Cricetulus griseus: one gene and its partners. The protein of the gene in region 1 binds, or shares a complex with, the protein of each later gene. Links are inferred from orthologs where the notes say so. Each region holds a gene or a part of one and is shown in the gene's direction. Other genes may lie near its edges. The genes, in order: Wdr5, Tada2a and Cxxc1.

Region 1 (10,146 bases):
ACTACAAGAACCTACCTGTGCCTTCTGTACCCACTCACTCACCTCTACATATTCCCCATAGATTCATTTGTCTATTTACTTACCAAATACCCACTCATCTATCTTCTCTTCTATCTAGGCTCCCATTCATCCACTGATCCATCCATCTAGACACATACTTGCCCTTCTATTTAGGTGTCTACCATACACCCATCCACATAATCATCTGTCTAGATATTCATCCATTCATGCACTCACCCATCCATCTAAATAGGAGGGGGGATACAATTATTCAGTGTTTACTAGATGTCACCCCTCCATCTCCTTTCCCTTGCCAACTGCAAAGACTGTTGTGTGAGAATTCTGATCCACCTCAGACAGGCCCAGGGGACACTGAGCCAGGGACTGCAATAAAAGGTCTTATTTCAGAAGGAACTAGCAGCTGTGCTGTCGTATTCATTTATCTGGGGATCCAGATGGCAAATCCAAATGGATGTTGGCTGTTGGAAGTTTGCTTGGCTGTTATGAGAGCTTTAAGTGAGAGGGGAGAGGAACTTTCTAGATATGTTGTATTTATAAGAATTGCTAGGGGACTAAGATGGATCAGCAGTAAGGAACACTTGGTGCTCTTGTAGAAGAACTGGTTCTATCCCCAGCACCCACATTTCAGGTTAGAAACAACATGCAACTCCAATTCCAGGGGATGTATCTTCTGGCCTCTGTTGCGCTCTTGTAGACATGTGGTGCATATAAACTCATGCGGGTACATACACCAGCACATAAAAATAATAAATAAAGCCAGGTAATGATGGCACACATCTTTAATCCCAGCACTGGGGAGGCAGAGGCGGGTGGATCTCTGGGAGTTCAAGACCAGTCTGGTCTACAAGAGCTAGTTCCAGGACAGCCTCCAAAGCTACACAGAGAAGCCCTGTCTTGTAGAAAACAAAACAAAAAAGTGTACTAATGTAATGCTGCTTGTTTAACCAACTATGTTTGAGATGACCTAACTGTCCCTAAAATTCCCCTAACTGTGCTTAAAGGAAGCCTGCACACGCTTCTTGGGGTCATTGCTATTTTTGTGCAGGTGAACAGCCTTACATATGCTGGTATAGTAATAAATGCTCTTTGCTCTTACCTACTATTTGAGTCTGGGGTCTTCCTTCAGTGTTTCCTCTGACCCCAACAACAGCTCTACCCTGCTGTGTTACTTGGTTTCAGGGTTTGTGCTATGACAACAATGGTGAAGTTTCCCACTTAAACCAGAAGGCTGTTTCCCTTGAGAAGAAGACATTCAAATCCACTGAGCGAAAGTTGGAAATCTGAGGGCTCTGGGTCATCGTTCGGGCCTCCCAGGCTGGTCTTGATTGAATATGTAGCTAAAGATGATCTTTCAAAGTTCTGATCCTCTGCCTCTAACTCCTAGTGCTTGTGCAACCACACTTGGTTTATGGGTGTTGGGGATTGAACACATGGCTTCTTGCATGCACTCTACCAACTGAGCTACATCCCCAGACAGACCTGCATTTTAGCAGTTCCTCTGGCTGGAATCTGGAAAAGGCTGCATATTAGGTAGAGCCAGGATGAGGATGGAAGTGGAAGGATTTGAGTGTTATCTGAGCAGAAGGAAGTTCAGAATTAGGTTTGGTTTCCAGTCCAGGCAGCTAGGCAGATATGGGAGATACTGTTCTTCCCACCTTACACTCTGCTCCATTCAGGGCTCCGAACATAGGGATCAGGTTTGTTAGGCACACAGTATCACATCGGCTGTTTCTGTGTCCTCTTTGGAAGGGGATTCTGGGCCAGTTGCCAGTCTTCTCTCACTCCTATAGCTATGGGAACCACACACATTCTCAGCTCCAAAGGCTCACTTCCTTTGCACAGGTTCCTATGCTATATTTGATACTCCCACACTGGGAGATAAGAGGCCGCCACCATCTCCAAGATTCTAAGACCATGTGTGTTAGATAGTAAGATGAAGATGCAGCCTGTCTTCAGGTTGTCATTATGTCCTTGTGTCCTCTCTGGGTCTTTCCTCCATTAGTGACAGGAGTAGAGGTGGCCTACAGGAGAGGGGGCTGTGAATACTTTGCTTAATTCGGGCATCCTGCCTGTCTGGAGCTGTCTTGTGAAAATGAGAATTACGGTGAAAACAGAGACTTTAAAATGAGCCTCTGAGCCATACAGGAGCTGGATTGTAGTGGATACTGCGGTTGCCTGGAATGTGATCTCTGGGCACCCAAACTAAGGAGCAACTGAATGATGCAGTGGTTCCAGATGCATGCATAGCGAGAGGACCTAGAGCCCCTGTGTTAGGGACACTTGCCTTTCATCTTTCTTTTTTCCTTCCTTCCTTCCTTTTTTTTTTTTTTTTTTTTTTTTTTTCTTTCGAGACAGGGTTTGTGTGTAGCTTTGAAGCCTGTCCTGGAATTAGCTCTTGTAGACCAGGCTGCTCTCACAGAGATCCCAGATGCCTCTGCCTCCGAGTGCTGGCATTAAGGGCGTGCGCCACCACCGCCCGGCCTTGCGGCGATAGTTTCTAAGACCTTTTTCTGAGTATGGGGCTGCGTAGCACAGCCTCCTTGTCGCCTAGCTCAGAGGCGAGGCAAATGTGTCCAACTTGAGCTGTGGCTTGTAGCGGCAGGAAGCCCCCGCCCTGCGGTAGGCTGGGGAGGCCGCAGGAGCTCCGGACTTCCGGACCTCGTGGACCTCCACCAGTGGCACCGAGAGGGTTCCCAAGACCCCAGCGCAGTCACAGGCCAGGACGGCCAAGCTGTAATTATCAGCTTGGCGACACAGCATGGAACAACAGGAGAATCACAAAAGCACATTCCGTCCCATCCTTCACTGCAGACACCACGGGTCTGCAACCAATGGATCCCAGCTGTCAAGCAGGAAGCGAGAGCCGCCGGCGGCCCCTTTAAGGCACTCCTCCTCCTCTAATTTTTCTGACCCTCGTCGCCGCCCGTTGCCCCGCCCCCCGCGCACGCGCACTCCCGCCCGCGTACCGCGCCGCTGCCGCCTAGTTCAGGAGCTCGTCTGCTCTCGCGCGCAGAGCTAGCCGACGCGACGCCAGAGCGCCCGGCCCCGCCGCCGCGGCCCCGGCAGGTAAGAGAGTGAGCCGGCCCTTTGGGCGCGAGGCGGGCGGCGGCCACGAGGGATAGCGGGCTCCGGGATCCACAGCGCCGCACGTGTTCCATGGGCCTCAGGCCGGGCCCGGCGCCGCCTCTGGGGCCGCGCCCCGACCCCACCGCCCCTTGTGGTCGTCATGGCCCACTCCTCCCACGACAACCCCCACTGCGCCACTAGACCCTTAGTCGTGCGAGCTCCTCGAAGCACACCTCAGGCTGGTGTCCTTGGGGGTGGGATTCACGGTCTTTCACCCAGCCAGTATCTCCCAGGTTTCCTTGGCCACTTGGCGCCTCTCTTATGTTGCCAGTTGCCAGCACAACCTTCACCTGAGTTCCAGTGCAAATTTCTACCTGACGAGGCCTAACTCTAGTCAAGGGGGTTGTAAACACTGTCTGGGTCAGCACACAGTGGTGTGAAGCCAGGGCTACTAGGACCAAGGTACTAGAACCCAGAGAGAATGGGTTGTAGCTCTTTGTTGGGTTGGCCAGCTGCAATCACCTGAGTGAAACATTCTGTCTCTTCTACACTTGTGCACTCAGTGCCATCCAGGAATCTGCATTCGATTGGAGAGAGAGTAGTGACTGCTGCCCTTCCATGGCCAGGCTCACTGTAGTATAAAGCCCAAGCCACCTTCCGAGTATTCTGTTTAGCATACCTTCCTCTCAGAGCTGTCCTCCCCAATCCTGCTTTTCCGTAGGCTTAAAACTTGCACACCTAGATGCTCTGTCTAGGACTCTGCCCAGTGAAATTGGAAATCGGTGATTTCTTTTGAGACAGACTTATGTAGTTGCTGGCATCTCTTTTTAACTGCTTTGAACTCCTGAGCCTCCAGCCTCCGGAATGTTGTGAGGAAGACTGGCTAAAGTTGGTGGGATTTTTTTTTTTTTTCTTTCCTCAAGACAGGGTTTCTCTGTGTAGCCCTGGCTGTTCTGGACCTTGTTCTGTACATCAGGCTGATCTTGAACTCAGAGACTCCCAAATGTGGCCTAAAGCGTGGTGCTTTCATATGTTAATATTTGACATCTTGAAGAAAGACCCTGTCTGTCCACAGGGTATTGCGGGGTGGGGAGGGTGGTGGTGCACACTTGTTTGCAAAGTCATCCACCCACTGCTAGGTGAATCTCCTTATCTAAAAGAAGCTGTTTAGTTCCCAGAACCTTCCCACCCAAGAGACCTCCCCTACACTGTTGCCCTGTCCTTTTACTGGGGAGATTTGCTGGGCTTTGTGAAAGGGACTTTCAGCATCCTCAGCTCCTCCTGCTACCTGTATGGTCAGCAGAAGTGGTAGCTGTGAGAATCCATGATATGGCCAAATTTTCATTGAGAATAAGCTCCTGGCGTTGGTAGCACATGCCTTTAATCCCAGTACTCAGGAGACAGAGGCAGGCGGAACTCTGAGTTTGATACCAGTCTGGTCTACAAGAGCTAATTCCAGGACAGGCTTCAAAGCTACACAGAGAAACCCTGTCTCGGGGAAAAAAAAAAAAAAAGAATAAGCTCCTGGTCAGGCCTGGTGATTGATATATGCCTGTTACATCAACTGTACCCAGAAGCTGAAACAGGAGGCTTTTGAATACCAGGTACATAGCTAGACCCTGCTTCCAAAAAGCTAAAAACACCAAACAGCTGACATTTCCTGGGCACCAGAGCTTTGTTCCCTGGAGAACCTAGGGGATCTATCCTCCTCCAGTCCTTGCACCTGGGCTTGAGCTACAGCAAGCTATGACCGTGATGGAACGGGCTGCAGGTAAAACAGCTGGGCTGCACCTGTGCCCTTTGTGGTGGGCATTGTAACTGTTACTCCTCTAGGACTGAAGACTTTGAGACATGTTTTGTGTGTGTCCTTCATTTGCCTTAGTCTTTACATGGGGTCTGTGTGAGGTTTCAGGTTTAACCTCAAAGCTAGAATTTACATCATCATTCTTATATTGATGGCCGAGAAATCCATGACCAGTGACTGACATTTGCAAGTATGCCTTAGTAGTTCTCCTTTGAGGACTACTACTTCATTTCCAAGTCACATGGTGCGCTTTTGTGTGGTGCATCCAGGTGATGGACCTATTGCTGCAATGGAATTAACTGTTGCAGGTGTACACATTTCAGGCTGAGTGCTGACCAGAATAACTACTTTCCTCTGCACAGTAGCATGTATCTAGTTTGCAGTTCACTGCTGTTCTCGCTGCTCCTCCTGAGGAAACCTGTGGAGGCAGCGACCACTCTGGTTTACTCTTGTAGCTCTTTTGTAGTACTGTGGGCACTGAGTCCTTGAGCTCTGTGAGCTTATTCTAGAAGGCAGCTTTGTACCTGCAGCCTGTGAGATCATAGGGAGCAGCTGGTGAGGTGGTGGCCACTGGGTTCATAATGCCTGTGTTTTCATGATCAAATTCCTTGGGTGCATTTTAGGGTAAGCTCCCAAACTTCTGCACAGAAGGTCTACCTCCTGTCACTTGGCCTGTCAGTTTCTGTCAGAAAGCCTTTTTTTTTTTTTTTTCTTTCTTTGGTTTTTCGAGACAGGGTTTCTCTGTGGTTTTGGAGGCTATCCTGGAACTCTCTCTGGAGACCAGGCTGGTCTTGAACTCACAGAGATCCGCCTGCCTCTGCCTCCCGAGTGCTGGGATTAAAGGCGTGCGCCACCAATGCCCGGCCAGAAAGCCTTTTTAATTAAAAACTGTGCCCAAGGCTCTTTGAAGCAAAGCTCACATGCCTGTACACATCTAGTACTGCAATGGGAAGCTGCCTTGAGGGTCAAGTTTTTCTTAAGCTCACAAAGAGGTCAAGAGCGGGTCATCACACAGAACATTCGAAGCTTCAGCCCTGGGACAGGGTGACAGTTAAAGGATGCCTAGCTTGGAACAGTTTATTAGCTGCAGGGTTCAATATAGTGGTCATGTTTTTCCCTTTTTCCTGAGAATGATTGCTTTTATACTTGGCAGGGTGGGTGGGTGGGTAGATGGTGGTCTTATGCATGTTAGGTGAATGCTCTCTGGTTGAGTTATTATACTTATCCCCAACAACCTTTTGTTGTTTTGAGACAGGGTTTCTCTGTGTAGCCCTGTTTGTCTTAGAACTCTGTAGACCATCTCAAACTCGGAGATCCACTTACTTCTGCCTCCCAAATGCTGAAATAGACGTGTGCCACTATACCTGGCCAAATTTATCTTATGTGTGTTTTTGTTTTGTCTTGCTTGCTTGTATGTCTGCGTACCACATGTATGTAGTCCCTACAGAGGCCAGAAGAGGGCGTCAGATCCTCTGAACTGGACTTAAAGATGTTTTACAAGTGGAAATCAAAGTCGGGTCCTCTGGAACAGCATTCAGTCCCCTCCCAGTAACCTTTTTTAAAGAGAGGATTTGTTTATAGGCCCTATACTGTAGCGTACGCTTTAGCTGACAGCCTCTTCCACTGTGACTCCCCCTTCACGGTGTCCTGCCCGGTGGGCATCAGAGCCATGGCCACGGAGGAGAAGAAGCCAGAGACAGAGGCTGCAAGAGCACAGCCTACCCCTTCCTCATCAGCCACACAGAGCAAGGTATGTCCCACAGGGACCGCTGTGGCAGACAGGCTGGAGAGATTCTTGGGGATGTTATTTTATTAGTGCAGGCTGCTCTGCCCAGTGAGGTATGCTGGCAGTGTGAGTTTCTGGCCACCTGGCAGTGGTCACACAGAGCCAAATGCTAGGTGCTGTCAGAGATTCCCAGACCTAAGACAGTGGGGGTGGAGTTTAACAAAAAGTACAGATTGTTTTGAGGTAGAGTCTTCCTATAGTCCTGGCTGGTAAAGAACACAACATGCAGATCAGGCTAGTCTTGAACTCATATAGATATGTCTGCCTCTGCCTCCTCCCTCTCCCCTTCATGTGCTGGGATTAATTTAAAGATATGTACCACTCTAGTTGGCTAAAAAAAATTACAAATTGTTGGTGTGCTGAGGTAGGGACTCCAGAGGAAGAAGGGGCTTTGAAGAGAGTGATAGGGTTACACTGACAGTTTGAAGTGTGACGTCAGATAAGGTGGTAGTAAGTGCTTGTGTATGAGTTTTGGAACCAGCTAATAATTAAAATTTGGGCATCAAGTGAGTTGATTGGGTAGTGGTAGTAGCCTCTGGCTAATTGGTACTGTCTCCCACAGCCTACACCTGTTAAGCCAAACTATGCTCTGAAGTTCACCCTGGCTGGCCACACGAAAGCTGTGTCCTCCGTGAAGTTCAGCCCCAATGGGGAGTGGCTGGCAAGTTCATGTGAGTATCCTTCAGTTCTTTGGCTAGAAAGCCTGAGCTTCAGCTGAGGAAAGGTGGTTGGTGGTGTGGGCATTGACTGCTACTTCTTACTGCTCCCATAGGTTTGTTAGCATTCAGCATGCAATTGCCTGTTTGTATGAAGTGGTGGGTGGGCGTGGGGTGGAGTGGCTACCTGTGTCTACATTTACTTCACTGAGTGACCTAGGCCCTGTTATTTAGGGGAATAGCTACAACCTCTTCTAACTCCAACTCCTTTTCTTTCAGCTGCTGATAAACTCATTAAAATATGGGGAGCATATGATGGAAAGTTTGAGAAAACCATATCTGGTCACAAGCTGGTAGGTTTCCTGTGAGGTGCACTGGCTGTTGAGCCAGATGGTTGGTTGCCCTGTCTGTCCTGGAGCTTACTCTGTAGACTAGGCTGACCTTGAACTTGGAGATCTGTCTGTCTTGGCCTCCTGGGTGCTTGAATTACAGGTCTGTACCACCACCTCCTGGCTTGTCAGGCCTGTCTTTAATGCTGGTGGTCGCAGGGTCTTACTATATAGTTCAGGCTGGCAATCATCCTGCCTCAGAATCAGGTTTGCACCACCACACGTGGCTGCCTTATGTTTTTGGTGCAAGGATTTTAAGCCTCCATAGGTGACTGAGTCTAGGAAACCTAGCGGAGCTGAGGGTAGTAGCCTTTTGCTCTGGGCCAGATGTCTTGTGCTAACACTGGCCAGAAGATTTCCTGAAGTCGTGGTGCATAGATAGGTAGTGCTGGTCTTTTACTGGTCTTTTGGGTTTTGATCCCCAAAGTGGTAACCAGCTGTTTTTTCTTTCCCAAGGGAATATCTGATGTAGCCTGGTCATCAGATTCCAACCTCCTTGTGTCTGCCTCTGATGACAAAACTTTGAAGATATGGGACGTGAGTTCTGTAAGTGACAATGATCTTCCCAGGGAGTACCTGTAGTTGAGATGAGTTGGATGTGTGGATGGCTGGTCTTGGGGAGGTCTTCACATGTGCTGGGTAGTCCAGGGTTTTTATCTGGGGAATATAGCCCCTGAGAATCACAGAGCTTGGTGTGCTATGCCCTAGGGAAAGTGTCTGAAGACCCTGAAGGGCCACAGTAACTATGTCTTCTGCTGCAACTTCAACCCCCAGTCCAACCTCATCGTCTCAGGGTCTGTAAGTGAGTGGGTCGCTCCTCCGGGGACGATGTGTGTGGTGTCACATATTGGTGTTTGATGTGGGGTTAGGCAGGGTGGGGACAGGGCTTGGGTCTTAAGGGACCACACTGTTGCCGCTCCTCTGTTCCTGTAGTTACTTTAACGACCTGTCTCATCTTTAGTTTGATGAAAGTGTGAGGATATGGGACGTGAAGACAGGGAAGTGCCTCAAGACTTTGCCTGCCCATTCGGACCCAGTCTCCGCTGTAAGTCCTGATATGTATGTACTCAGCAGTTCCTCTACATGGGTTAACTTACTTGCTCAGGTGCAGCATCCACATGACCAGAATATCTCTTGGTTCTGTGTGCTATTGTGGGTAGGTGGGATACAGCAGGGAGCACCATGGGGAACTTTTTGTGGGCTGGGAGGTAGATAACAGGGGATTTTCAAGGGGGTGTGTTCCGGAATGGGCTTTCACAGGATATGGGGTGGTCAGGTCTAAAGGAGTGTGTTGGACAACAGAGAGCCATGCAATGGGCATTAAACACAGGTAAAGAGAATTTTGAGTAGAGTAGCTTCAATTAGTGGGTATAGTGGCATCTTAGGGTTTCTTTTTTTTTTTTTTCTTTTAAGGATTTTATTTATTTATTATGTATACAACATTCTGCCTCCATGTATGTCTGCACGCCCGAAGAGGGCACCAGGTCTCATTGCGGATGGTTGTGAGCCACCATGTGGTTGCTGGGGAATTGAACTCAGGACCTCTGGAAGAGTAGCCAGTGCTCTTAACCTCTGAGCCATCTCTCCAGCCCCATCCTAGGGTTTCTATTGCTATGATAAAACAGTGACCAAAAGCAACCTGGGAGTGTCTGAGCTTAGGTTACTATTACTATAATGAAACACCATGACCAAAAGCAAGTTGGGGAAGAAAGGGTTTATTTTGTTTGTACTTTCACATTGTAGTCTATTGAAGGAAATCAGGACAGGAACTCAAGGAGGGCTGGAATTTGGTGGCAGGAGCTGATGCAGAGGCCATAGAAGAGTGAGTGTCGTGCACTGGCTTGCTCAGCCTGCTTTCTTATAGAACCCAGGATCACCAGCCCAGGAATGGTACCACTCATAATGGTCTAGGTCCTCCCTCATCAGTCACCAATTAAGAAAATGCCCTACAAACTTCCTACAGCTCAGTGTTACAGATGTGTTTTCTCAATTGAGGCTCCCTCTCTGATGACTCTAGCTTGTGTCAAGTTGACATAAAGCCAGCCAGTACAAGGGAAAAAAAAAATAAGATTATTTCGTATTTATTTATTTATTTTTGGTTTTTCGAGACAGGGTTTCTCTGTGTAGCTTTGGAGCCTATCCTGGCACTCGCTCTGGAGACCAGGCAGGCCTTGAACTCACAGAGAGATCCACCTGCTTCTGCCTCCCAAGTGCTGGGATTAAAGGCGTGCGCCACCAACACCCTGTTTTTTGTTTTGTTTTTTGAGACAGAGTTTCTCTATGTGTAGACTAGATTGGCCTTGACATAGAGGCCTGTCTGCCTCTGTTTAGCATTTCTGTTTCTGTGAAGAGGCACCATGACCAACTCAACTCTTATAATTTAATTGGGGCTGGCTGATGGTTCAGAAGTTTGTTGTAATGGCA
Region 2 (10,217 bases), on another chromosome or scaffold:
ATTGCTGTGTGTCCATTTTGCTTCCAGATTTCTCTACAGAGATGGCAAGAGGAGGAACAAGGCACATCTTTGTTCTGAAGTTAAATACAGGGTATGCTGGGACTCAGAGTTTTGAAGGGTCAGGAGAAAGGTTCTGGAGAAGTGACAGCCAAGCTGAAGTAAAGCCCTCCCTCGTCAAAGGAAGCCAGGAGGCAAGAGTGCATATGAGAACGGGAGGTCCTTCCATGGAGCTGGGGAACTGACTACAAAATGATGAACAAAGAAGTTAGTTAAACGTAGCTTAGTGGCAGACTGCTTGCCTTGGTTTCAATCCCTGGCACCAAAACATAACACCAAAAGAAAGTGAGAATGTGATAGATTTTGAAGGGCTTTCTACAAAGAATGATATATAGATGTATTGTACAAAGCAAGGTACATCTTAGTGAATCAAGGCAATATTAATAATTAAGTAACAACAACAGGAATAAACCAGGAACCGCCTGATCAATTCAGGAATTATGGTCACTCTACTTGTAAGTCATGTTCAGCTGCTTGGACATCCAGTAAAAGTAGAGAGTCCATTTCTTTTTTATTTTATTTATTTATTTATTTTTGGTTTTTTGAGACAGGGTTTCTCTGTGTAGCTTTGGAGCCTATCCTGGCACTCGCTCTGGAGACCAGGCTGGCCTCGAACTCACAGAGATCCGCCTGCCTCTGCCTCCTGAGTGCTGGGATTAAAGATGTGCGCCACCAACGCCCAGCTTTTTTATTTTATTTTTGAAACATTTTTTAGATTTATTTTATGTGTGTAAGTGTTCTGCCTGCATGTATGTGTATCCCTTGCATGCTCCGTGCCCATGGAGGTCAAAGGTATTGGATCCCTAAAAACTGGAGATACAGGTGGTTGTGAGCTACCGTGTGAGCCCTAGGTCCTCTGTAAAAACACACAGTCCTCTTAGTCACTAAGCCATCTCTCCAATCCCAGGTCTTCTTTTTAAATCTCACACATTTTATCTGAGTAACTATCTGTACCTTTTGCCTTGTTTTTTGTTTTTGTTTTGAGACAGGAACTCCTTATGTAACCCTTGACTGGCTTAGACGATGAGATATTGACCAATCTGGCCTCAACTTGCAGCAACCCTCCTATCACTTGACTCCTGAGTGCCCGGATTCAAGGTGTATGCCACTATATCTGGCCATACCTTTGTCTCTATTCATTTCACCAATTATCTGCTGGCCCTACCTTTCTGGGCGCAGAGGTTACAAAGAGAAAAGACAGTCTGTTCTCAAGCTGAGGAAAGCACAAACAAAGAAACAATTCTATTCGTTACACAATGAGTACTGAACTCTCCACTAAGCGTAGACTCCTATTGTCATTTCTAGTTAGTATGCAAAACATAGATGCCAAACAAAACTTACTTTCTCCTCCAAGTCCGTCTTCCTTCAATTAGACTCTCCCTTCTTCTGATGGTCTTGCAATGCCACTAATACTACACTGTTTGAGGAAGAAACCAAGGAAAGTGCTGCTTCCATCAGTGTTACCCTTCCTTTCACTGGACATTTTATTTTTTATATTTTGGAGAGAGAGAGAGAGAGAGAGAGAGAGAGAGAGAGAGAGTGTGTGTGTGTGTGTGTGTGTGTGTGTGTGTGTGTGTGTGTTTTATCTGCCCATATGTGCCTCTATATATGAAGACCAGAAGTTGATGTTGGGTGTCTTTCTTATTTTTTGAAACTCATCTATTAGGCTAGGCTGGCTGGCCAATGAGCTCCAGGAGTGTGCCTGTCTCAACTCTACCCAGTGCTGGGGTTACTAGTGGATGGAGAACTGGTGCTGGCAATCTGAACTCAGCTTCCTAAGTTTGTGCTGCAGGTACTTCATTGACTCGGCCATCTCCTCAGCCTCTTCATTCTATTTTTCGAGAGTATCACTCAATGAACCTGAAGTTCCTTGATTTAGTCAGACTGTCTAACCGACATGCCCCTAGGGGATCCTCCTGTCTCCTTTCCAGGTAGGTGCTGGGGCTACAGGCACACATCACCTCATCTAGGGGTTTATATGGGTACTGAAGTTCAAATTCAAAGACTTCACAGACTGAGTCATCCCACCAGCCCCTGAACATTTTAATTCTTACTGCAATAATTTCTAAGCTAGCCTATTCATAATTGGTTTCATTATGTCATTTTCACACATATATGACATTATATTTTGTTGTATCCTCTTGGATACATTTTAGTTTATAATTTAATTTTCATCCCCCCCTGGCCAATTTAATTATCCATTTTTTTTTTTTTTGAGTCAGGATCTTACACACCAGATTGGACTGGAATTTTATGTGTTGTCCAGGTTGGCCTCCTGTGTGCTGGGAGTACAGGCATGAGCCACTATGCTTTTCTTGAGAACATTGATCTTGTCAGGCAATAGGGGTGCACACCTTTAATTCCAGCACTCGGGAGGCAGAGACAGGTGGATCTCTGTGAGTTCCAGGCCAGCTAGCCTGGCCTGCCAGCAAGTTCCAGGACAGGCTCCAAAGATACAGAGATTATGTTTTCAAGACAGTGCCTGTCTTGAAAAACCAAAACCAAAACCAAATAACAAAAAATAACAGAATATTGATCTCAACCCTTTATGGAATTCTAACCCATCCCATTGCAATCCAACTAAAGTTTACCAAATATACATGATCTGGGTCCTGGTTATATTTCTTTAATCAGCTCTGTTCCAGCCATTCTGGCCTCCCTGCTTCTTTTCCATGTACCAGGGACACTGTACTTGCTCTCTCTCATCTATGGTTCTTTATAGAAATCTACTTAGCTTCCATTTCTCATTAAATATCAGATTTCTGCTTGTGTGCTGTGTCTGCTAAGAGGCCTTTCTTCCCCATCCAGACTAAAAGAAAATCTCTGTATCACTGTTATCTCTTGATTCCAATTAATTTTCTATAAAACCACATTATGAGGCATCTTTTAATACTTACTATTTATATATAATATATTCATCTTTTATCATATGTAATTCATGAGCCTTATGAGCAAGAGAATATGTTTTGCTCACTACCAAATTCTCAGCACCTAGAACAGTGAACTGTTCATTGTGTATTTGCCAAATGAATGAATAGATCTGAGGACTCAGAAAATGTAAAGTGCCATATAATATTGATACAATAAATAGGAAAGTGCATGGAAGGAAATACATAAAAACATTAACTGTTTATTTAGCATGGTGGGGTGATTTTCACATGTGAATTTTAATCTTTTCTTTTTTTTAAGACAGATCTTTCACTCTGTAGCCTAGACTGAACTCAAACATATGGTAATTGTCCTGCAGTCTCCTGAGTGTAGTGATCACAGATGTATGCTACTAACTACACCCAGCTGAGATTTTTGTTTAACAATGGACTTATATTACTTTTGTACCAAAAAAAAAAAAAAAAGAATAAAGATGCCACACAGGCAGTGTATAACTGAATTCTAACAGAAGTTGGGTAAATCTGTAAGACAGAGTTTTAAATAGATATACAGCATAATAGTTCAGACCAACCATGGTTGGAATCCCTTCCCCAGCACTTGGTAGCAATGTGATCCTAAGTTATATATTCCAGTGCCTAGATTTCCTCAGCTGGACCATGGGAACAGGAACAGTGCATCCCTCAGAAAGTTGTTGGTGTAATGTTTTGTACAATGCCTGGCATACAGAAAGGAAGGATTCCACAAATGGAAGCTCTTATAACAATCTCTACTAGTCGTAATAAGAGATGTTGGGACATACCTAGCCCTCAAGATTGACATCAGAGTGGACCACCACATCATCACTGCACTTCCATGTGAGCATCTGAAGCTCAGGGAGGGGCTGGGTCTTTCCAGAGAAGGCAATTTCGACGTCCCAGAAGCATCAGAATGAAAAGTACCCTCTTCACCCCTCAAGGCATTCAGTTTGAGTAATCCATGAGTGGCTTGCGTTCGTCAGGCCCAGCGCCTGGGCAGCCTGAGTTTCCTCGCTTGCAACAGGACTGGAGTGGGATTGTTATGAGAAAATCCAGATTGAACCAGGCGGGACCACCTTAGAGCACCGCACCGGGACTCCTGTGGCGACAGGAAAAGTGACAGCAGATCAGACTCCAGGGCCTGCTGGCGAGCGGGAAAGCATCATTCGCCCCATCCCGGGGCAGCGCCACCGGGACCCGCCCGCCCGTGGCCGGGGTGGAGGCGGGACAGACGCGGCGTGCTCGCAACGGCGTGGTCCGGGGCCGCGCACGTGATTCGGGGCCGCGCACGCAGGCCGGGGCGCGCACGTGGAGAACTTGGACGGCGCGCGCAGCGGGAGGCTCTTGGGCGCCGAGGCGCTAGACCTGGCGAGGTGAGGAGCGGGCCGGGCGGCGGAGCGAGGGCACGCGGGGTCACGAGGTGCGGGCTGCCGCGGCGGGGCCACGCGGCGGGCGAGGCGGGTGCGGCCCGCCGGTCCCCAGCCCCTCCCCCCTCCCGCTCCTGAGCGGCTGGCGGTGCGGCACCTCAGTGTCCCCGGCTGCGCGGTGGAGCGCGGCCCCGGCCCACCTGATCCGCCGAACCCCACGTGGGTCTCGGCGAGCCAGTGTTGAGCAGCGTCTGCGAGCCGAGGCGCTAGTACAATGACTTGCCCAAGGCCATACGGCTGTAAGGATGCTGTCTGCACAACCGCCAAGCCCGCAACTCCGGGAGCCTGCCCCTCGGTCCCTTCCTTCCTTCCTCTAGTAATTAATCTGAATGTAGCCCGATTCTCAAGGATGTTAGTATCACTGCGTGGGCTTTTTAAGAAAGGAGAAGAAAGATTTTTGCTTTCCGCAGCATTGTGCTTTGTGACGTGGAGTGTTTGCCAGAGAGTATTCTAGCATCCTTTACAGTGTAAGCTTCTATTGATAGGGCCCCGCTGTTCACCAGCCTGTAAACGTGGTGCCAATGCCCCAGAAAGCGCTTCCTTTCCTTGGAAAAAATGGCCTGTTCCAGGAGATTGTTAGGATTCCAAGATTTATTCCACATACAGTGATACCATTTATTTCCAGCCATATGGATGTTGGCTTGCTGTTTTATTCCTGGATGTATACTATTCCTTTGTTAAATTCATTTTTTTTTCTGGGTGGTTGTGGAGCACGCCTTTAATCCCAGTACTCGGGAGGAAGAGGCAATCGGACCTTTGAGTTCATGGCCAGCCTCGTCTAGACAGGACAGCCAGAGCTACACAGAGGAAACCTGCCTCAAATTTGTTGTTTCTTGTTGGTTTTTTTCGAGACAGGGTTTCTCTGTGTAACATCCCTGGCTGTCCTGGATCTCTCTTTGTAGACCAGGCTGGACTGGAACTCAAGAGATCTGCCTGCCTCTGCCTCCCAAGTCCCGGGATTAAGTGAATGCACCACCATTACCTGATTTGGGTAGAATTTCATGGTCTCCAGTAATAAAACTCAGGTTAAAATTTATTTTTTGAGACAGGGTCTCACTATGTAATGATGGCCATCCCAGAATCCCACTATGTAGACTAGGCTGGTCTTGAACTCACAGAGACCTGTTGCCTTCTGCCTACTGGGATTTTTATATACCACCACACCAGCAAGTTGCAGAGTTTGTAAGAAGGATGTACTTTAAATTCTGTGAACATGGAGGTCTGAGTGTTGTGATTTGGCTACCCCACCATTTGCCGTCAGTTCACCAAAGTAAATCCAGCCTAAGGGAATGGATACTTGGCAGAGAAAGCAAAGAATTGTTTATTAGAAATTCATAAGCCGAGCGTTGGTGGCCCACGCCTTTAATCCCAGCACTTGGGAGGCAGAGGCAGGTGGATCTCTGTGAGGCCAGCCTGGTCTCCAGAGCGAGTGCCACCATAGGCTCCAAAGCAAAAAAAAAAAGAAGAAGAAGAAATTCACAGCATTTGCTGGTTGTGGTGGAACATACCTTTGACCCCTGACCTGGGGAGCTAAGGCAGGCTCCCTAGTTGGATGCCAGCCTGGACTACCATAGTGAGTCTGCTTCAAAAGCAAGGCTACGCTATATAGATAGCTGAGTATACATTTAATGCTCACAACTTTGAGGTTGAGCTTGTTGCATCAGACCCCTTTTATACAAAGGACAGTCAGGTATGTAGAGGAAGAGCAGGTCCCCCAGCATCATAAACTCCTGGCATGACAGGGTTGAAGGTGCTACTTGTAATAGACCTTTGAATGCTTTTCTTTCCTTTGGTTTTTCGACACAGGGTTTCTTTGTGTAATAGCCCTAGCTGTCCTGGAACTAGCTCTGTAGACCAGGTTGGCCTGGAACTCACAGATATCCACCTGCCTCTGCTTCCCGAGTGCTTGGATTAAAGGACCACCACTGTCCTACTTTGAATGGTTTTCTGATCCATGTGGCTCTTCTGTTTGTTCTTAGGGGATCGTTAATTTTTGGCCACTTCTGAAGTCTTGAAGAAGCTCCCTATCAAGGAAGATCAGGAATAACAGCCCTCACTGTCAGTTAGAGAATGGACCGTTTGGGTTCCTTTAGCAGTAAGTACCATGGAGCAAGTCTCAAGTGAAGATGAATAGCAAACTAAAGTAGAAGTTGATCATGGAAGCAACGCCTTTGAAGTTGATTGATAATGCCTGAAAGAATTAATGTCATGTAAAAGTAAAATCAGCCAGTACCTTTTGGTTGCCTACTGAAGATAACACAAATGTATCTATCACCTCAAGTCTTAGAATAAAACCAGGCTGAGTGAACCAGCCACCGTGTGATTGATCTGTATTTAAAACACTTTTATTTTTGAGCCCAGGGCCTCATGTAGCTGGGCTGGCCTGGAACTGGCTTCATAGCTAAGGAAGACCTTGACCTACTTATTTTCCCAAGTGCTGAGAATTCAGACATGTGCCACCATTAGATTTTGAAGAAATAGAAATCACAAAATTAGGTTACACACACTTGTGCATACACGGACACACACACAAGTGCAGTCACAAAGTAGATCATTAGTAACCCAGTAAGAACCAGAAATGTATTTTTCAGGTTTTGTTTCTTTGCATTTTCTTAAAGGCCTTCTGCATTTTCTCTACATTTATTTAGAAAAGAAGAATCTTTGGACATATCTACTTCTACATTTTCAGTTCAACAGTGCTCCAAGTATAAACTGAAACTATCCATACCGTTTGGTTTGGTTTTGGTTTTTTGAGACAGGGTTTCTCTGTGTAACAGTGTTGGCTATCCTGGAACTCAAGAGAGGTCCTCCTGCCTCTGTCTCTCAAAGGCTGGGATTAAAGTACCACTACCAAGTTTACTCCCATCTTGTTTTGTTTTGTTTTGTTTTGCTTCAAGACATGGTTTCTCTGTGGCTTTGGAGGCTGTCCTGGAACTAGCTCTTGTAGAACAGGCTGGCCTCAAACTCAGAGATCCATCTACCTCTGCCTCCTGAGTGCTGGGATTAAAGGCATGTGCCACCACTACCCAGTTTACTCCCATCTTTTAAAACAGAATTGTTAAGGCATGTTGTGATGACACAGAGCAAGCTCCAAGGCTACACACAGGGAAACCCTGCCTCAAAAAACAAAATGAAAAGAATTTCAGGTGCTTGAGTGATGGTTCAGTGGTTAAGGTTATTGGCTGGTCTTCCAGAGGTCCTAAGTTTGACCACCAGCAACAACTGAGGGCTCACAACTGTCTGCAACTCCAGTCCTAGAGGAGCTGACACCTTCTGGTCTCCACAGGTACTGCATGTACATGGTGCAGAGACATTCATGCAGCTAAAACACCCATACACATAAAATAAAAATGAAGATTTAAAAAAAAAACAACAATTTCAGACTTTTTCTCTCTAGATTTGCAAATATTTTCTTCCAGTTTACTTGCTTTTTCAGCTTTATAGTTTTTGTTTTGTAAAGATGTGTTTGTTTGTGTGTGTGTGTGTGTTCACTTCTGTGAGTTTATGTGCACTATGTGTTTACAGGACCCATGAAGACCAGAAAAGGGTTTGGGATCACCTGGAACTGGAGTTACAGATGTATGGGTACTGGGTACAGAACCTAAGTCTTCTGCAAGAGCAATAAACTCTCTTAAGCACTGAGCCATATTTCTAGCCCTGTTTATAAATTTTCTTTCTTATTTTATGTGTATGGATGTTTTGCCTGCATGTATGTCTGTGCACCACATGTGTGCCTGATGCCTTCAGAGGCTAAAAAAGGAAGTTACAGATGGTTGTGAGTTGCCATATGGATGCTGGGAATTGAACCCTGGTCCTCTGCAAGAACAGTCAGTGCTGTTAACTGCTGAACCATTTCTCCAGCACCAAAGATTTATTTAATTTTTAATCATGTGTATCTGTGTGGGAATATGTACATGTGAGTGCAGGTGCCTGAGGAGGCCAGAAGGTGTCAGGATCCCCTGGCACTGATGTTGCAACTGTTGTGAGCCGTGCAGTGTGTTTGGTTGCTTGGTGGGAACCAAACTTGAGTCCTCCAGAAGAACATGATAGGCTCTGAACCACTGAGCCTTCTCTCCAGCCCATTTAGAGTGTTTTTTTTTTTCTTTTTGCTTTAGTCACATTTTAAAACTATTTCCTCAGAATTTTTTTTTATTTTATTGTTTTTAATTACGTGTGTTGGAATATACGTATGAGTGCAGATACCCATGGAGGTCTAGAAGAAATATCAGCCCCTGCAGCTGGAATTACAGGTGGTTGTGAGTTATGTAACACAGGTATGCTCATGTTACATAATTCCTTCTTGCCCACTGGAATATACACAAAGTAGATAAATAAATATAATCATAAAATAAACCTTCAAAACCCTAGATCTGTCCTTTGTGCATTCAATAATTTTAGTTTTAAGAAAATACATGGAGAGGGAGAAATGTAAAATGTACATATCAAAGATACTGAGAAGTAAAATGATGATATCATAAGTGCATATATGGCCATACTGAGAAGTAAAATGATGATATCATAAGTGCATATATGGCCATTATTTGGGCACTGTTAAGATTAGTTCTCAACCTTTTAGACCCAGTTATTAGTTTTTTTAAACAAACTTTTTAAAAAATGTTTTATTTATTATGTATACAACATTCTGCTTCCGTGTATATCTGCACACCAGAAGAGGGCACCAGATCTCATAATAGATGGTTGTGAGCCACCATGTGGTTGCTGGGAATTGAACTCAGGACCTCTGGAAGAGCGAGCAGTCAGTGCTCTTAAACTCTGAGCCATCTCTCCAGCCCAACCCAGTTATTTTTTGTTATTTTTCAAGTCTATTAATTGAAAATGGAATATGTAGATACATGTTTTCAAGAATAAAAATGATTCCATAGTAAAAGGAGTAGTCTGCAATGAAATAATATAATTTATAGTAAACTAGCATGATTACACCCAGGTGTGATGGCACATGTTTGTAATCCCAGCACTTGGGTGCTGAGGGCAGGATTGTCTCCAGTTCAGGGGACAGCCTGAGTTACAGTAAAACCTTGTCTCAAAAAAAATGGGTTTGGAAGGATGGGGGCAGGACATAAAAGCAGAAAGAGACATGATGACTTAAGCATTCAACTGCTGAGACCCAGAGGTTGAATCACTGCATCTTACCATGAGAAATTGAGGATGATTCAGGCTGTTAGTGACTAAGAAATGCTGCAAGTCTTAGTAATCCATGGTCAAGTTTCAGCAAAACAGAATACAGCCTCCTCTTGACTTGTGTATACTTGTCATACTAGAGGATTCAGTCTAAACTGTCAATATTTTTTCTTTGAGACAGGGTCTCACTAAGTAGCTCTAGCTGGTGTGGATCTCATAAAGATCTGCCTGCTTGTCTCCTGAATGCTGGGATTAAAGGCGTGGATCACCACCACCTACACCCACACCCACACCACCCACCCACCCAGCTGTCAGAAATATCTTAGTTGGGGCTAGGACTATAGCCCAGTGGTTGCTGCTGCATGCCTGTCTGACTAGCATGTACAACGTCCCAGGTCAGATTCCCAACACTAGCAAAACCATAAATATTTTTTTACATATGAAATAGTAATGGGTTCTAGGCCATGTAATTGGGAGATTTAGTTTTCTATCTAGTTGATTTGTTTTTGTTTTTGGGACAGGGTTTCTCTGTGTAGCCTTGCCTGTCCTGTCCTGGAACTCACTTTGTAGACCAGGCTGGCCTGGAACTCACAGATCTGTCTGCCTCTGCCTCCCTAGTGCTGGGATTAAAGGCATGCACCACTGCTGCTGGGCTTTCTAGTTGAATTTTTAATGAGATAATTGAAACTTG
Region 3 (9,599 bases), on another chromosome or scaffold:
TGAGCGGTCGTTCTGGGCGAGAAGACTCAGAGTGCGGTGCCGTGGAGGCGGGACCAGGAGCGGAAGTGGTTGTGGGCGCTTTTGCCACCGCCGCGGACGCTGCCTAGGGGCTCGTTCAGGTTCGCTGGGTGCTGCCGGGGGTCCAGAGCGGGTGCGCTGTGAGAGGAGATATGGTGAGTATCCGGTTGGATCGCGGTTCCGAGGCAGAGGTCGGTGGGGTTGGCAACTGCTGCCTGTTGGCAAGGCGCACGGGGCTTCTGGTGAGGTGGATGCCGAGTCTGGGGGCCGATGGGAAAAGGTGTGTGATGGGGTTTGAAGTGAACCATCTGTGAGTTCTTTGATGAACCGTTGTAGGGGGTCCATAGTGGGACTTAAGTAGAGACTGCAGGTGGCAGTTTTGTGGGAAGCCTTCACGTGAGGATCCTTGGTCAGAGAGATAAGGTCTTGGCCATGAGTATTTACAGGGGCTCTGAAAAACCGTCATTGGGGTTGGGGGTCTGTGAGCTAAGTTATAGAGACTTGTGGGAAGCCGGGATGGGACGACAGCCCAACAAATTAAGAGATATCCGGGTAGAACTCTTGAAGGCGGCAATGTGGTAAGTGTTTGTGATGAGCAGTTAAGAGTGACAGGATGCTTGTCAGTGATGTGTGTGATGGGAGAGCAGTATAAGCAAAGTAATGAGGCCCAGGGTTGAGTGATGAGGGTCTGGGCGATCTGTGAGGGAGAGGCTGATGGGAATCTATGAGAGGGAGGAAGTCCAAAGACACAGTAGGAACTTGTGTTGAGCCGTGGTCGAGCTGTAAGCGGGAATTAAGGAGTCATCATTGGGGGTGGGTCTCACAGGATGGAGACGGTTCAGACTTGGAGCCTCCAGATGCTGGAGAGGACAGCAAGTCTGAGAATGGGGAGAATGCTCCCATCTACTGCATCTGCCGAAAACCAGACATCAACTGCTTCATGATGTGAGCTGGGGAGAGGTGGGTGGGCTGATGCCTGGCGGGGTTGGGGAGCACCGATGAAGCCCACCCCTCACGTCTCTACCACTTGCTCCATTATATGCAGTGGATGTGACAACTGCAATGAGTGGTTCCATGGGGACTGCATCAGGATCACTGAGAAGATGGCCAAAGCCATCCGGGAATGGTACTGTCGGGATTGCCGAGGTGAGGCCCAGTGGGGAAGGCAGGTGGGCTCCAAGAGATGAAGAGGAACCGTAATGGGAGGGCTCATGGGTAATCGAGGTGTCCTCTGTGGACAGAGTGATTGTCGGTCCTTGGGGTATTGGAATACCAACTCCATTGTGAGCAATAATGGAGGATCCTAAAGGGAGAGGGCAGCTCTCGCCTATAACATGAGCCAGAGAAGTAGTTGGGGTGGGAACAGAGAAAGAGGTTTTGGGATCATTCATATCCCCCCCCCACCCGCCACACACACACACACACACACACACACACAAACCCACTTTGGTCTTACTCTTTGCCTCATAGAGAAGGACCCGAAGCTGGAGATTCGTTACCGACACAAAAAATCCCGGGAACGGGATGGCAGTGAGCGGGACGGCAGTGAGCCCCGGGATGAGGGAGGAGGGCGCAAGAGGCCTGCTTCAGATCCAGACCTGCAGCGCCGGGCAGGGTCAGGGACAGGGGTTGGGACCATGCTTGCTCGGGGCTCAGCTTCGCCCCACAAATCTTCTCCACAGCCCTTAGTGGCTACACCTAGCCAGGTGAGTGACTGCGGTGGTTGGGGTGGGTAAAATTCTGCTCTGGGCCCCATTTGGGTTCCTGATGTCTATCCTGCGCATTGACTCCTAGCATCACCAGCAGCAGCAGCAACAGCAACAAATCAAACGGTCAGCCCGAATGTGTGGTGAGTGTGAGGCATGCCGGCGCACTGAGGACTGTGGCCACTGTGATTTCTGCCGTGACATGAAGAAGTTCGGGGGGCCCAACAAGATCCGGCAGAAGTGCCGGCTTCGCCAGTGTCAGCTGCGGGCACGGGTAAGCATGGACAGAGCTGGGTAGGTTCAGGTGGGAGAGCATGGCTGGGAGGCCCAAGTAGGGCTGCTTGAGCTACAAATGAGAAAGTGTGGGTGGGGTGGGGTGGGGCCTCATTATGTCCAGATGAGTGGGAGGGGGCCTAGCATGTTCAGGTGAATGCCACATGACATAACTAGCTGGCAGGGGCATATATTTTTAGGTGGTCAGGCATGCCAGGGCACAACAGGTAGGACTGAGCGTATGTCTGAGGTGAGGGGAGGGCTAAAACATTTTGTGTAGACCAGGCAAGGATGAGTAGTTGGGGATAGGACAGGGTGACCCATCATTTTCCTGGGGCTGACCTAGGCCTTCCTCCTGCGCACAGGAATCGTACAAGTACTTCCCTTCCTCGGTGAGTCCAGCCCCCCAGGGCGGGGCAGGGCATGCGGGCAGGGCGGTCAGGGCCAGTCCTGAGATTCTGCCCCGCAGCTCTCGCCGGTGACGCCCTCAGAGGCCCTGCCAAGGCCCCGCCGGCCACCACCCACTCAACAGCAGCCACAGCCATCCCAGAAGCTGGGGCGTATCCGTGAAGATGAGGGGACAGTGTTGTCATCTGTGGGTAAGGAGCTGCCAGAGGCTACAGCAACACCCGAGCCACTCTCAGATGAGGACCTGGCATTGGACCCTGACCTGTACCAGGACTTCTGTGCCGGAGCCTTTGATGATCACGGCCTAGTGAGTAGCAGGAGCATCCTGTGGTGGGGGAGGAACAGGAGATGATGAAGTCACAGCATGGGAAAGAGGAGGCAGAGGGCACCCAAGGCTGCTTTGGGAAACGGTAGGTGGTGTGGTCATGAGCTGGTCAGGTGGGTCAGTGCATGCCCTTCTTGCAGCCCTGGATGAGTGACGCAGAAGAGTCCCCATTCCTGGATCCCGCAATGAGGAAACGGGCCGTAAAAGTGAAGCACGTGAAGCGTCGAGAGAAGAAGTCTGAGAAGAAGGTGATGGAGAGGGGAAAATGGGTGGAAAAGGAAGAGGATGGGGCAGGGAGGGAGATGGAGAAGTCAGGGGCTGAATAGGGGAAGAACCAAAAAGCTGGAGTGGAAAGGCAGATCAGGCCCAAGGCTGACCTCTCTTGCACCTTGACATGACCTGTCTTGCCCCTTAGAAGGAGGAGAGATATAAACGGCATCGACAGAAGCAGAAGCATAAAGACAAATGGAAACACCCAGAGAGGGCTGATGCCAAGGACCCTGCATCACTACCGCAGTGCCTGGGGCCTGGCTGTGTGCATGCTGCCCAGCCTGGTTCTAAGTATTGTTCAGATGACTGTGGCATGAAGCTGGCAGCCAAGTGAGTTTTCCTGGGGCACTGAAGGTAGTCAGGAAGTAGAGCAGGCATGACCAGAGCTTTCCCTCCAGCTAGTTGTCTATGTACTGTTCAATCAAACCCCCATCTGGCCACATGAACCCACCATTCAGTTACCGCCTGCCCCCCCCCCCCCCACACACACACTCAGCCACCCATCCTCGAACCTGTTCATCGTCTATCCATTCACTGTCCCTTGATCACCCCACTTACTGCTTTTGGTGCTTCTCTGCCCACACCTCACTGTCTCCCGGCAGCCGAATCTATGAGATTCTCCCGCAGCGCATCCAGCAGTGGCAGCAAAGCCCCTGCATTGCTGAAGAACATGGCAAGAAGCTCCTGGAACGCATCCGCCGTGAACAGCAGAGTGCCCGAACCCGTCTTCAAGAAATGGAACGCAGATTCCATGAACTTGAGGCCATCATTCTTCGTGCTAAGCAGCAGGCTGTGCGTGAGGATGAGGAGGTAAAAAGAGTTGTATAGCCATCGCTGGGCAGGACCCAGTACCTTGTCCTGCCTGGTTTCATCGTTCTTTCCCCCATACAGAACAATGAGAATGACAGTGACGACACAGATCTACAGATCTTCTGTGTCTCCTGTGGACATCCCATCAACCCACGTGTTGCCTTGCGTCACATGGAGCGTTGCTATGCCAAGGTCAGGGGCCAGTGTGAGAGAGTGGATGGTGTAGGGATATCAGTGGCCTGCAAGGCCCACAGATTTGTTGAATGGGTGGTATCTTGAGAGGGCACCCAAAGTCCTTTTATTTGTGTTCATCCTTCCAGTATGAGAGCCAGACATCCTTTGGGTCCATGTACCCCACACGCATTGAAGGGTGAGTAATGGTGCCCTAGAGTGTTAAGAGAAGGGTGGTTAAGGCTGGGGATTGGGAATGGGATTATGTGTGGAATTGGTGCTAGAGATGAGTGTGGGCCTTTGAAGTGGTCAAGGAGCTACTCAAGGCTGCTCTCCTGTTAATCTCTGACAGGGCTACCCGACTCTTCTGTGACGTCTACAATCCCCAGAGCAAAACATACTGTAAGCGGCTCCAGGTGCTATGTCCTGAGCACTCACGGGACCCCAAAGTAAGGTTTTCCTTCAGTTACCTGCATCCTTCCCTGCCTCGTGTCCCTCCTTTCCTTCTCTTTTTTTCCTGTCAACTTCCATTTCCTCCCTTTCCTGTTGATCATCTCCAGTTCCTCTCCTTTTGCTTCCTTTTCACTCTCCTTCAGATTCTCCATTCCTCCTCTCACCTCATCACCTCTGCCCTTGGTGTCCTTGCAGGTGCCCGCTGATGAGGTCTGTGGGTGTCCACTTGTACGTGATGTCTTTGAACTCACAGGTGATTTTTGCCGTCTGCCTAAGCGCCAGTGCAATCGCCATTATTGCTGGGAGAAGCTTCGGCGTGCAGAAGTGGACTTAGAGCGTGTCCGGGTGGTAGGTTTTAATATTGGGTGTGACCTCAGTCAGCCTGAGCTCCGGGGGCTGGTTCTTATGCTTCCTTCCACTTCCTTGGCAGTGGTATAAGCTGGACGAGCTGTTTGAGCAGGAACGTAATGTTCGCACAGCCATGACCAACCGAGCAGGATTACTTGCCCTGATGCTGCACCAAACGATCCAACATGACCCACTCACTACCGACCTTCGATCTAGTGCTGACCGCTGAGCTTCACCAGCCCAGAGCCCCTCACCCCTGCATTCCAGTTAGGGGAGTGGCCCTGCATCACCGGCTTTCTGTTCCTCCATTCATCTGTTTATTCCACTGCTCCTTAGTTTTATCCCTGTGTCCATCTATGTTCTGGCTTACATTTGCCCTTATTAATGGGACTCTGATTTCCCTTTTTCACTATCTGTCCTTTTCCATATTCAGTGCTGGGGTGAGACTGTGGCGTTTACTCACCTTTGCCTATACCCATCCCCTAAATAAACGGGTTTTGTTATTAAAAATTTTGAACAACCAACAGGAGATCTCTTGATAGTCTCCATTCTTCTATTTTCAGTTGTGGTCCCAGGCAAGGTAGAGGTGGCATATCTGTCTTGGGAGGGACTGTGGTAAATGTGCAGGCTGGGATAGCCAGCGGACTCATCTTGTGCTCCCTTAGGCTGTGACAGTGTGACCTATTTGAGGAAATTTCAGTGATCTGTATGAAGCCCCATCCACAGTTATATTATACCAGGGACAGGCCAGGTGTCAGAAGTTTCAATAGTTTCTGTTAAAAGATTTCAAATGCAGCTGGGCATTGGTGGCGCACACCTTTAATCCCAGCACTTGGGAGGCAGAGGCAGGCGGATCTCTGTGAGTTTGAGACCAGCCTGGTCTACAAGAGATAGTTCCAGGACAGCCTCCAAAGCCACAGAGAAACCCTGTCTGGAAAAAAAAAAAAAAAAAAGGTTTCAAATGCTCTAGTGGATTAAAATAATGGACTTCCTAAAACTACAAGTATGGCTAGACTAGAATGTTCTAAGCATTGTGTAGTTAGCCAGGATGAAGGGTGGTTGCGTGAAGCACACAAAATGGTGTCAGCTAAAGCAAAAAGGGATTCCCTTGGTTAGTTTATTCTCTGCTGGTCTTAGCAGAGTCAAAGCATTGACTCATTATCTTCCGGTGGCATGTCCGAAGAGAACGGAGTGATTTCCTGTTTGTCCCGGCTTATATTATGATTCTGCCCAGCTATGTCACTTCCTGCCTGGCCAATCAGCCACCAGTGTTTTATTCATTAACCAATAAGAGAAACGTATATAGAGAAGGATTTCCCTCATCAGATGTTTAGATTTTTTTTGACCACTTTGTAGGGTGTATTTTTTTAAGGAATGATGCATATAAATAGCTAGCTTTTCCTAAGGATACACAAAGATCTCTCCAACACATGAACAATAAATCTCTCCCTCTCCAACTCAGTAAAACTAACTCAGCCAAAGATTTCAACCTGATTGAGAAGCATTTCAATGGAAGTCTGTAGTTGTCCTATATCCCCTATCCTATATCGTGGATTTATGGGTCATCTAGGATATTCCAATTTCACCTCTTACCAAGGTAATCATTAGGGCTGCTTTTTCAGCTGGTCTAAGTCTTACTCGGATAAAGATCAACAGGAAGCCAGGAGAAAATGTGCTGAGCATTCTTGGGGCCATTGTAAGCATATAACTTGAGAAACAATGGATGGTAACACACAAGGTAAAGCTCCTGTAGTCTGTCAGGCAAACACAAAAGGTAGGACTCTTGTAGTCTGTCAGAGGCCATCCATTTTTGTAAATACAGGTTAACCAGGTTCCCTGCAGTGCCAAGTAGGCTTTTGATACTGCAGGGTTCTGAGAAGGGAGATTTTTGGAAACTATAGTTAGATGTTGCCAAGCATGAAAGATTATCTATTATATCTCCTAAGGTTAACTTCAGGGTAGTGATAGGACAGGTAGACTTGTATTTGTAACAATTGATATCTTTGTGCCTAGATCCACATGTGAGGTGATGCAGTAAATAACATCCCTCAATGACCTCTGTATCAGTTCCTGCCTCCAAGTTCCTGCCCTGCATGAGTCTGTGTTCTGACTTCCTTCAATATGAACAGGAAGTATAAGCCAAATAAGCTCTTTCCTCCCCAACTTGCTTTTTGGGCATAATGTTCTGTAACAGCAACAGAAACCCTAACTAAGACAACAACATACTTGTCGTACCTAGATGGATGCTACAACCAATGCAGCAAATGCTAATAAAACTTGGAGACCCCTGGAAGAGAAGAGCAATGACCTTAATAACTAATCTGTTTTTCTTTATTAACCTAAATAGTTTTCAAAGACTGAAACTTTACATTACATTTTTAAGTGAGCTGCATAGGTACAATATCTTAAGAAATAGGAACATATAATACAGTATAACAAAAGTAACAATAAATTTGTATCAACATACAAAAATCCATACCAGTGTAAGATATTTGAGACCAGTGGTTGTTCAAAAGTAGACTAAACAATCTACCCTTTTATTACATCATTTCTATATCATATCTCCCTTTTTTCCTTCAGAAAGAAATCCCTGAAACTAATTTCCTTTGTTCAGTATTTTACTGACCACGACTAATAACAATTTGGAACCCCCCCCCAAAAAAATGACAAACATCCATAACCCACTGAATGACCCAAAACCACCTACTCCAACTCTTGGAAATGTGGGTATCATGTTTTCTAGATGGCTTCCCATTATCTGGGGGGTGATGGCATCTTTAGGGTACCTGAGAAAATTGGGATAATGGTCAAGTTCTGGGAGAGCTAGCTGTATATCATTTGTTGCCCAGTCTCTTATGTAATGGGAAAATGCAGGGTTCATCTGAAGTCCTGGCTAGAATATAGTCTGTGAGAGTGGACCATCTCTGCCAACATCCTTGAAACTGTTTTGGATGCAGAACTCTGAGGAAACTGCAACAGAGGCACTCTGAGAGGCTGGACCACCTGAGCCACACACTTTCATTGGTGTCTGGTCCCCTTACTCTGAAAACATAAAACTTTTAAAGTTAACATTCATATCTGTAATAACACAAGTATGGACTTTGCATTGAACACAAGCCAGCCAAAGGTGATTTTTTTGTTGTTGTTTTATGTTTGAGCATATAAAATATATATCACCTGTCTTATAGTTATTAAGATTTATTTCTTTATATCTGTATCCAGCATTTTCAGGGGGTCTCCACTGATCAAATCTGATCTCTATCAACCTTGATCAAATCCACAGATGTTATGGAATATTACTTCATACTGTGTGAAGATGTGCCATTGTGATTGGTTTAATAAAAAGACAAATGGCCAATAACTAGGCAGGAGGTATAGGCAGGACTTCCAGACAGATAGAGCTCTAGGAAGAAGAAAGGAGGAGTTGTGAGCTAGATGCAGGGAGAACAAGGCATGCAGGAGGAATGGTAAAAGCCATGAGTCATATAGATGAATAGAAATGGATTAACTTAAGTTATAAGAGCTAGTAGGACAAACCTAAGCTATATGCAGAGCTTTCATAATCAATAGTAAGTCTTGTCATTTTTTTGTGAGCTGGCAGCCCAAAGAAAAATCCACCTACATATGACACTCAATGTGGGGTGCCATTTATAGTTGGACTTCTTTGTCAGGATCATTGGCTCCCCAATGATGATGTTAGACCCCCTGGAAAACTCAGGTATCCGGGGTCCCAGGCCACATTCACTGTCATCCCAATCACCAGGTGGACTCGAGAGCTTGATGCAAACTGCATGAGGCTTTATTGTAATTTAACGAGCTAACCCCATGTTAGCTTGGGTCTTTCACCCACCCACCATGGCGGATGGCTAGCAAAAGACAGCTCCTAGGACCTCCCAAGAGATCTTATAGGGCAGTGTAAGGGGAGTGTCTAGGGGTACGCACAGGCTCACTATTGGTGTGCCTCCAGCCTTAGAGGGCTTGCCCTGTGTTGATTGGCCAACTGGTTGTTATGGCCCATAGGCCCTCCCAGGGTTGTTGCTATGCTTTGTGTGTCATTGCTGTGCGCTTGTCCGTAAACCACACCCAGGGTGGTAAAGCATAGCGCCACCAGCTAACTTCTGATTGGTTCCTTGTCACAAGGCAGGCATCTGACCTCCTAGTGACCAAGGCAAGGTTATGGCAAGAACGTGTTCGGCTGTTATGGCTGCCGAAAGGGGAGCTGGTCCCTTCAATGACATGGAGATTTGTTATTAATTACCAAAGCTAAGCTGATAGCTTAAGCTTGCTTCTAATTAGCTCTTATGACTTAAATTTAAAAAAATTTCTATTAATTTACTTTCTGCCTCATGGCTGTTGGGCCTAAAAAGGCCCATATGCAAGGCTTAGTAGAACTTCCTGAGCCTGGCTAGAGTTGGGTAATCTGTCTTTGGCCTATCACTTCTGCATAGGAGTGACTCAGCAAAACTGCCTCTGCCAAGCTACTGCTAATGTGTCGAACTATTATTGGCCCTTAAATCTCACCTCCTCCTGAGGTCCCCACCCACTTCCTCAACCCTGCCTGATGCAATAAAGAGAGATTCTGCTTCAACAAGTCTCCCGACTCAGTGTGGTTCTCTCCGATGACTAGAAATATCCCATCAGCCTCAGAAAGAGACCAGCTGGACCAGGCCTTCCACAGCCCTACCTGCCAGAGGACCCAGCACATGGTTTTATGATCTCATCTCTGTACTGTCTATACTGCTGGTTCTGTCTCCTGGCATCCCCACCCTTCTTCCCAGCATCCTCTGTGCCTAGAAATCCTGCCTAGTTATTGGCGG

Evidence for each region.
Region 2: Wdr5 (region 1) and Tada2a share a complex: the UniProt entries of both Homo sapiens proteins name them as parts of the ADA2A-containing complex. The link is inferred for Cricetulus griseus from reciprocal best matches to the Homo sapiens genes WDR5 and TADA2A.
Region 3: Wdr5 (region 1) and Cxxc1 share a complex: the UniProt entries of both Homo sapiens proteins name them as parts of the SET1 complex. The link is inferred for Cricetulus griseus from reciprocal best matches to the Homo sapiens genes WDR5 and CXXC1.

Annotation. Positions count from the first base shown.
Region 1 is NC_048599.1:139,189,037-139,199,182, forward strand, and holds the start of Wdr5 (WD repeat-containing protein 5), read left to right. Parts: upstream 1-2,936; 5' UTR 2,937-3,087; intron 3,088-6,472; 5' UTR 6,473-6,560; coding exon 6,561-6,641; intron 6,642-7,239; coding exon 7,240-7,348; intron 7,349-7,612; coding exon 7,613-7,686; intron 7,687-8,178; coding exon 8,179-8,268; intron 8,269-8,430; coding exon 8,431-8,520; intron 8,521-8,683; coding exon 8,684-8,767; intron 8,768-10,146.
Region 2 is NC_048600.1:97,382,328-97,392,544, reverse strand, and holds the start of Tada2a (transcriptional adapter 2-alpha), read left to right. Parts: upstream 1-4,188; 5' UTR 4,189-4,333; intron 4,334-6,366; 5' UTR 6,367-6,457; coding exon 6,458-6,482; intron 6,483-10,217. UniProt on the Homo sapiens protein: Component of the ATAC complex, a complex with histone acetyltransferase activity on histones H3 and H4. Required for the function of some acidic activation domains, which activate transcription from a distant site. Binds double-stranded DNA.
Region 3 is NC_048595.1:165,566,456-165,576,054, reverse strand, and holds the end of Cxxc1 (CXXC-type zinc finger protein 1), read left to right. Parts: 5' UTR 1-170; coding exon 171-173; intron 174-844; coding exon 845-963; intron 964-1,063; coding exon 1,064-1,164; intron 1,165-1,488; coding exon 1,489-1,724; intron 1,725-1,812; coding exon 1,813-1,998; intron 1,999-2,362; coding exon 2,363-2,389; intron 2,390-2,466; coding exon 2,467-2,712; intron 2,713-2,870; coding exon 2,871-2,978; intron 2,979-3,145; coding exon 3,146-3,330; intron 3,331-3,602; coding exon 3,603-3,810; intron 3,811-3,891; coding exon 3,892-4,002; intron 4,003-4,130; coding exon 4,131-4,180; intron 4,181-4,333; coding exon 4,334-4,430; intron 4,431-4,629; coding exon 4,630-4,782; intron 4,783-4,864; coding exon 4,865-5,011; 3' UTR 5,012-5,311; downstream 5,312-9,599. UniProt on the Homo sapiens protein: Transcriptional activator that exhibits a unique DNA binding specificity for CpG unmethylated motifs with a preference for CpGG.